2 linked regions of the Danio rerio genome follow. Each later gene encodes a partner of the first gene's protein in a complex. Links are inferred from orthologs where the notes say so. Each region holds a gene or a part of one and is shown in the gene's direction. Other genes may lie near its edges.

What was found.
Region 2: lamtor3 (region 1) and lamtor5 share a complex: the UniProt entries of both Homo sapiens proteins name them as parts of the ragulator complex. The link is inferred for Danio rerio from reciprocal best matches to the Homo sapiens genes LAMTOR3 and LAMTOR5.

What each region holds. Positions count from the first base shown.
Region 1 is NC_133188.1:12,903,042-12,907,365, reverse strand, and holds the start of lamtor3 (ragulator complex protein LAMTOR3), read left to right. Parts: upstream 1-1,457; 5' UTR 1,458-1,530; intron 1,531-2,481; exon of another isoform or gene 2,482-2,483; 5' UTR 2,484-2,520; coding exon 2,521-2,529; intron 2,530-2,608; coding exon 2,609-2,643; intron 2,644-2,737; coding exon 2,738-2,796; intron 2,797-4,324. UniProt on the Homo sapiens protein: As part of the Ragulator complex it is involved in amino acid sensing and activation of mTORC1, a signaling complex promoting cell growth in response to growth factors, energy levels, and amino acids.
Region 2 is NC_133183.1:26,634,624-26,639,201, forward strand, and holds the start of lamtor5 (ragulator complex protein LAMTOR5), read left to right. Parts: upstream 1-1,747; 5' UTR 1,748-1,873; coding exon 1,874-1,908; intron 1,909-1,998; coding exon 1,999-2,060; intron 2,061-2,686; coding exon 2,687-2,804; intron 2,805-4,578. UniProt on the Homo sapiens protein: As part of the Ragulator complex it is involved in amino acid sensing and activation of mTORC1, a signaling complex promoting cell growth in response to growth factors, energy levels, and amino acids.

The sequences.
Region 1 (4,324 bases):
GCTAGAATTGGTTAGTAAATGTTATTTTCTATTGGTCTAAGTTTATTTAAAATATTGATTAGAGGAGCGTTACCTAATAAATATCCAGGCCTGTAGCCAGCCTATTGTAAATAAGAGTGGTTCTTTTTTTCTGAAAAAGTGGACCTTTTTGCAGTTATTGTCGTCATTTAAGAACTAATCTTTGCTCCATAAGCTTGTTGGATGGTGATCATAACCACACTATTTTTGATGCACCAAAAATGTTTTCAATTTATATACAATTTAAATATTGTTATGTGATTATCATTAAAAAGTGAATATGAAAAAAACTTATTATCAAATTTATTATCCATCATTAAAAATAAAAATCTGGTAAAACTGGTTTAAAAAAATGGCATATAGGCAAATAACAAACTGGCTAGCTCATTCAACTTCCCTGTCAAAATTTGGCTACTTGAATAATTAAACATTTAATTTGTCTTAAAGCCTTTTCTATTGATCCTTTTCACAATTTATAATGGCATAGCAGTCAAAAATTTGATAATTTTTTCTATGGAGGACGAAACCTGCAAAAACAGTAATTAAATAAATACCCAAATAAATAAATAAATGAGTAAATAAATCCATAAATCCCTGCATAAATAAAATAATAAATAAATAAATGTGTGTAAAAATCCACAAATTTCTGCATAAACAAGTCTATACATAATTAATAGTGCGGGCAGGTAAATAACTAAATAAGTTACACGAGGGGAATAAGAAAAAGTTTATTTTAATTAACGTTTGAAAGAGAGGAAAAATAAACTTTTAATTTAGCATTTTCTTATTCCCCTCGTGTAATTTTTTTAGTTATTTACCTGCCCACACTATTAATTATTTAAATATTTATTTTAGCAGGAATTTGTGGATTGTTTATATACATTTATTTCTTTATTTGCATATTTATTTATTTAATGTTTTATTTAAGCGAGAATTTATGGATTCATTTACTCATTTATTTATAATTTGCGTATTTATTCATTTATTTATTTATTGTTTTTGCAGGTTTCGTCCTCCATACTTTTCTCAATGGTAGGCTACTTAAAGAACTAGATATTTATTTAAATACCATTAGGAGAGTACAAACAAAAAAGCTGTTATATCTGTTGACACATTTAAATTAGCAAGGCCTAGCATTATTTGTAATAGTTTGTCTATTTTATTATGTTTTACCTACTGTGTTGTTGTACTTTTATTACTCTATTATGTTTTTCATATTTGTTGCATGAATTAAAAAGCAGCTGCAGATACGCATGCGCACATCAATATATCACAGCATACGTTTTGCGACACTTCAACAATAATAATCGTTTTTACGTTACTGTGAGGGCAGACGTTAAGTAAAATAAAATTAAATAGGTAAAATTATGAAAAATACAATAATTCTCGTTAATTTGATCGTGACATTTTAACGGATATGACGTACACGGAAAAGCGTATGTATTTTGTCATGTGATGCTCGCACAGAAACGCAAGAGAAGAACTTTTATAAAGCGTTGAGTTCAGTTGATGGTAAGTCTGTTGCCTTTTGTGTATTATGACTTTAATAGATGCTTTCTGGGTTTATAACAGTTTCTGGATTAGACATGTCTGCAGTTAGTAAGTAACGTTAAACATGTTGCCAAAGATGCTGGTAAAATGCTGTTGTAATGTCGTATAATCTTCTACGAAAATTAACCATGGTTTTACTATAGTAAACGTGTAGGAATTATGGTTTATCTACGTATTGATTACCAATTTTTATACGTTAACTATAGCTTTATTACTGTTGCATGCTTAATTCGTGTTTACCTTGGATTAACTAAAGTTACCATGGTGTTTGCTTTTATTTGTAGTAAAACCATGGTTAATTTTCAATTAGGGTAAAGTTGGTTTTATTTTCACACATTTCGACATTCTCCTTAATAAAATAATTTCTGAAACGTATTCTTTGCAAATACTAAGTAGTGAAATCATATTAGCAGTCAACATCAGACTACACGATTGTTTTTAGTCAAATAAATAGTGGTAATGTTATTTTGAAGTCATTCTTACACATATTTTTCAGACCCAATGTTTTAAAGTACCATGGTAAACAATATATGGGACAAAATCAAGTTATCACTGAACGAATATGCAAATATAAAACCAAGTTTACCTCAATTTCCTATGTTGTTTACCATGGTACTTTGAATATTCAATCTGAAATCACGTGCAAGTATGACCAAAGACTATAGAACACATATAATACAGTATGCCTTAAAGGGACTTTGGTAGACTTGAAAACAACATTAGCACTATTTATTTGACTGTGAACAATGTTGTACTTTGATAGTCATAGGCTGCTAATATGATTTCACTATTTAGAATTTGGAAACAACACTTTTCTGAAGTTATACCATTAAGAAGAATGTGCGAATATAAAACCAACTTTACCTCAATTATTTTCATGCCATGTCCTTTACTTTTCAACTTTTTCCCTAGAGTGTGCTGCAGGCGACGTACATAATCAGTCCAATGAATATGGCAGATGTGAGTATATTTGTAAATTAATTTTCTGGTAGTGAATTTCTCATGAGTCTAATAATGTGTTTTGACTTGATTCTTGCAGAATCTCAGAAGCTATTTGTATAAACAACTACCAAGGTAAAGACATTCTTTTTGTATTTTAGACACATTTTATTTCATTCATTGCCAGATGTAATGAATGCTGATTTCTTTATTTTTAATCTGTCATCAGTGTTGAAGGACTTCATGCAATTGTGGTGACAGATAGAGATGGGGTCCCTGTAATCAAAGGTGAAAACCAGATCTCAGATTTTTACATTTTTGTGCATACTACTGGTCAAATGTATAAAAACAGTAAGATTTCCTTTACTTCATTTAATTAAAACATGAATGTAGCAACAACAAAAAAAAAGTTTATTCCTTTGAATCAAAGTTAAATTGTGAGTATCATTACTTTCTTTAGTCTTCAGTTGGGCTGCACGATATTAGAAAAATCAAGCATTGCGATAATTTTTTATTTTGCGATTTGAATACAGTTTCACCAGATTACTTGAATATCTCTATTTGGAAAGATTTTATAATATTAGATCGATTGGGATGATTCTGCAATGGGAGTGTATCTCCATAAAATACAATAATCTATAAACGTTTTGGGGCCCCTTACACATTTTTCATGTGGTCTGTGCTATTTGCAGAGCATTTCTGTATTTGCATGTGTTGTGAGTATTTTCATGCACATGTTTAATCAGCGATTGATGAATTAATGTTAACTATTTGTATCTCAATAAAATCGAATGAACAATCTATATACTTTTTGGGTCCCCCGACACATTTTCCATGTGGTTTGTGCTAGTTGCAATTCACTTCTGTATTTGCATGTGTTGTGAGTATTTTCATGCACAACAATCTATAATTGCAATCAAGAAAAAGATACAACTGAAAAAGTGTTTGATTGTTTCAGTATTTCCGTTTAAGAATTGAATTTATTGAAAGGGATAGCCCCTTGAGATGAATCATCTCATTTTCGAGGGGGTCCCTAAAAAGTTCATAAATCAAAGAGTACAACACATCATAACGTACATACACTTAACAAGACAAACTAACAATCAAACAAGCAGCACACTCCGCCTGAAACACTTCCCACAATCTTAAGCCTAAATAAACAAAAACATATAATCAAAAGTACTAACAATTTGATATACAAATAAATAATAAACATTTAATTTGGAGTCAATATTAATAACATTCGCAAGTTGTTTCCAAAAAAGAAAATAAATTAGCTCGAAAAGACTAAGTGATTTAATTGATCCAAAAAAAAGAAGGGAGATCGTTCCAGTCGGAAGGAGCTTTGTATCGAAAGGACCTACGGCCACTTTCTGTAGAAATTCTGGGAACAAAAAAATAATTCTGTTGCATATGACGAAGCGAATATGATGAGGTAAATGGAACAAAAAGCTGCTTTAAATAAAGAGGGGAAACTAAAATAAACACATTTAAAAAGAAACAAATACCAATGATACTGTCTGCAGAACTTAGGTTGAAGCAAACCAAGTGTTTCGTATAATATTGAATGTTGGGCTCTATAAGGACATCTTAAAACAAATTGACACAAAGAATTGAAGCAGTATTTAAAGGTTTTAAATTAACATCAGAGGTAATGTCATAAATAATATCAGCATAATCAATAATAGGAAAAATTAATTGAGAGATCAATTTTATTCTTACTTTAAATGAAAAACAATTAATAGAACGATAAAAAGAACCTAAGCAGCGATATGAATTTTTAATTATAAAATCAATTTAGTAAAAAATTCAGTTT
Region 2 (4,578 bases), on another chromosome or scaffold:
GACACACCTTCACACAAATCTTCATTTAGCAATCAGTCTGCAAACATTAAAAATGGTAGAAGGTCTGTGTTGTTCTGTGCCTGCATGGATGGAGGAGGTCAATAGTGGCTATGTCCTACTCACAATAGATTTGACTGTATATTGGTTTACATGTTTTCTCTAATATTTACAGTATTTTATTACTTTTGTCTGTTTTTTTAACAGTATTTCAGTTTTAAGCCACAGTTTGAAAAAATGTCATGAATTCAACATAAATTTAATAAAGGCATTTCTTATTCTGGATCCAATTCTTTGCAAAAAGGCAGCCCAAATAAAAAGACAACAAATGGCATTGGCAATAGGTTACAATGGCAAGCAATGGTGCACTGATTCACACTGAGGTCTGTATTTTGTATTTTGTTGTTCATTGTGTAATGGTTAATTGAAAGAGCTCATATACTTGTTAGCAAGTTGTGTTGTTTGAAGGTTAAAATAGCTTTTGTTGCATATTTTAAATGTTTTGACACGGCATGTGCATTTTGCAACCAAAATGTGTTATTTTGACCATGAGTGCCGCTGTTTAGGCCTGTGTTTTAACTGTTTTAAAAATGTGGAGTTTCAGTTGACGGCTGCATGAAAGCAATCCAAGGAAAACTGTAAAATAAATTAAGCAAAATATCTTATTAAAAGACTTAAACTGCACAAAAATCAGTAGTCTAAAAATCCATATATATTTAAATGTATATATATACCCACACGCAAAAATAATAATATTGTAATGAAACTATATTTATAAAAATAAATCGATCATCAATAGACAGAAGTTAAGGAATTAAATTAACCCTATAAAAATGATATTCATCAAATATAAGGCTGCATCCAGTCAGGAAAGATTAAACTGTTCTGATGGGCTCTAGAGAGGCAGAAACAGGCAGCTATTATTCTGCCAGCTTATTTGCATGTATATTGACTTTGCTAACCTGATTCATGCTTTGCACTTTGCACAACTTGTGTAATAGTATATTTTATAATATGCTTCGCATATAGTTAAGCAAACATATAGTTAATGGATGTGACAGAGAAAAAATGTGTCTCATGTCAAACCCGGCTCTTAAACCAACCTCACAAACTATAAAAGAGAGTGCTTCAATATCTTGAGTTAAAAATGGAAAAGACTGTCTGATAAAGAGCTTGAGCTCAGACACAATTGACGGTGGTCTTTTATTGTGCGTCTGGTCAGGGGACAAGGTCATTTAGAGAGATACCAACACCGAAGATTCACACGTTCCTCTGGGAGTTCTCATTGACAATGCCAGCTAAATGTTAACCACATGTAGCCTACTTGCTTTTTAGAGCATTGAATGGTTTGTAAAGAATTTATTATTTGTTCAACATAAAAACGAGGATATAGAAGATCTAGACTCTGAATTATAGGTGATCAGTCAATAGCAGTGCTGCAGGAACATTCATTTATTCCAACAGCTGCATATTAATAAATTCAAGCTTTTCATTTTGGTTCAGAAATAGTCACTCTTCTACTTAGCATTTATTTCTCCTGTGGGACTTGTGGTATAATTGGTATTCTTTTGAGAATGTCTTGTGTGTTCATTTTAGTTTAATTAAAATGTTTAACCCAAAAAATTATATTGTATGACTGACTACTTGTCGAGGTTTAGCAGCAAACAAAAGAGGACCATTTACCTACCATCCTGACTTGAGTAAGATGGCGCTAGATCCTATTTGCTTGTTGTCCCTTAGAGGGCGCCGTAGTGTTAAGTCGCGTGTTAAACTGTCAGCTGACATCCCGGAAGTTATCCAAGTAACAAACATCGCTGCCAGTTTCTGAACATTTCGTGTTTCTTATTAGTTTAATAGCCTTATTTAGGACGCTGTTATGGAGGGTGCACTGGAGCAGCATCTTGACGATACGTATGTTTAAAAAGAAACCACTTTCTTTTCTTACGCATGTAACGTTACTCGTTTTGCGTCTTCATTTACTGATCTCCTTTCTCACTCTAGGATGAAAAATCCAGCTATTGTTGGGGTTTTGTGCACAGACGCTCAAGGACATAATCTAGGGTGTAAGTAATTTTTATATTTTCCTTAATACTTCCCTTAGTATAGTTTTCCTCTGGTGACCATGATTTGCTTGGTTTACATGTACTGGGTTTTCACTTGCAACAAGAGGTTAATATTGCTTTTAATATTTACACATGTGTTGAAGGTATGTAAAACGTTTTGAATTTTTATTAGTTTGATTTGTTTCTCAAAACAGGGAACGGGTGTCTACTGTGGACAACTTTATAACTGTGTTATTGACCAACTTAAAGTTAACTGAAACAATGGTAAACAAAAAAACATGGTTAACTGGGAGAAAATACAAGCCTATTCAAATGTAATTATGCAAAAAAAATGTAAAGTAAAATTAAATGATGTATAGATATAGTTTGAGTAGTAAAATCTATAATGGCATGTGTAGTATTAAAAATATTAATCTGATAAATTAATTCAACTTGAGCATTTTAAGCCTGCTTTTTCAGTGTATTACCATGTGCAAAACAATATACAATTTAAAACTTTTCAACAAAATATAGGGTTATAGAATTGTGCTTTATATAGATTCTCAGTTGACTCTTTTCCATTTGGTTTCCAGAACTTGAAAATATACTGTAATTCTCAATGACATTACAAATATTTTAATCTCCAGGCCGGGGCTCACTATCTGATGAACATGGAGGAGTTGTATCTGTACTGGCCAAGCAGGCTGCTTCTCTAACCAAAGATGCCACCGACTGTCCTACAGTGTGCCTGGAGTCTGACTGTGGGTAAGGAAAGCTTCTTGACCAGCATCTGTCTTATTTCTATGTATCTTGAGAATTTTTTGATTTGAGAGACAACAAAACAATCTGCAGAAATCGATGACATTAATTAAGAAAGTTAAATGAGGGAAAGTCAGTTAAACAACAATCTTTGAAAGTCATTCATCCCATTATACCTTCCCTCTTCCACACACACCAGTTGTCACTAAAGTGTATATATAGTGACGTGTAATAAGTATTGAAACTATCAAATTGGCGTGTGACTTTCTCAGAAAGTATTCCATTCATTTTAATTCATCAAGGATTAATATTTTGTGCTGGTCATTTGGTTGCTTTAGAACTGTCTTGGATCAATATCACTCAAAACCACCAATAGATGGCGGCAAGTCTTAATGAGTGATTCATTGAATCATTGATATTTGTAGTATGGATATAATTATAGAGAGGCATATGATTTCTTATGAGTTTTTGGGGGTTTATTATTTTAAAAAAAGCACTATTATCAAGTAAATGTTTTTAAGTAATGGTTAATTTTTTGCCACTATCATTATGGATATTCAATCAAAAGTAATGAAAGCAATGGAACCATTTCAATATAATGCATGGCATATGTATTACTAATTAATAGATGTAATTCATCTTTTTTTAAAGTTAATGCGGATGGGTTTAAACAAAGTAAATCAATTGATTTTAACATTATAATTCCTGTACACAGTAGTTAATAAAGATTGAACATTTAACTAAACGGTTTTAAAAATGTCTGCACAGCCACAAATTTGTTGGCAATATGCTAAAAGAATGTAACTTGCCATTAAACAAGAACAACGAAAAAATAAAAGGCGCTCTTTTTTTTTTTTTTTTTAGCATTAATTTCTCACCCATGACTTGTGGAATTGCTATTCTTTTGAGAATGTCTTGTGTGTTTATGGTTGGCAGATTCTTAAGTTGACTGAACTTGCCACCAGCTGTGATTTTTAGAAACTGATATACCTGGAGTAAGCACCGTCTGACCTGGGATAGGGAAGAGCAGGGCACAAAGTAACACTTTTTGGTTTTGGCCAAATAATGAACAAAGTAATGGGCTTAGACAAACCATTTTTTGTACCAACAACACACAAACTGTCTCCTACAGTTTCTGTGCAGTATTGCCAAAAGTGCCAGGAGCAAAAATGTTACTATTTGCCCCAGCAGTGGGGCACGTTGTAACAAACAGAGGGTAAGTTGTAACGCATGCTTACAAAGGCAGATTCCACACAGTTAATTTAATTTCTGTTTACTTTAAATAGTAGCTATATTTCCTCAGTACTTGGCTCAATTTATTTTGTGTTATACATAGCACAGCATGTTTATTTACTTATTTATCCACTTAATGAACACATTTGGATTTTTTTTTTGCATTATTATAAAATGCGTTTATTTGCATTATTAGCAATAAAACTAATTTTTTCTATTAAAAAATATATATTTTCTATAAAAAAATCATGTTTATTTAAAAAGTTCTCAACATTACATTATCAAAAATAAAAAATAAAAATATTCAGTTAGTTTAATTGGTGTCCAACAGTGTGTGGCTTAATTGTAACACCCTGTTACAACTAACCCTGCTGTGTCGTGTTTTCTTCAAAACTGACTAGCAGTCACTGTCTTTTTACATCTTTCAAAATGGTTTCATCTTTTAGCCTAGAAGATGGTAATCACAGCAATATAAGATTTTTTCGTACATGCTTTCACAGATGTTTTTTTAAGTAAAACAAATTTGCTGTAATAAAAAATACTGCAA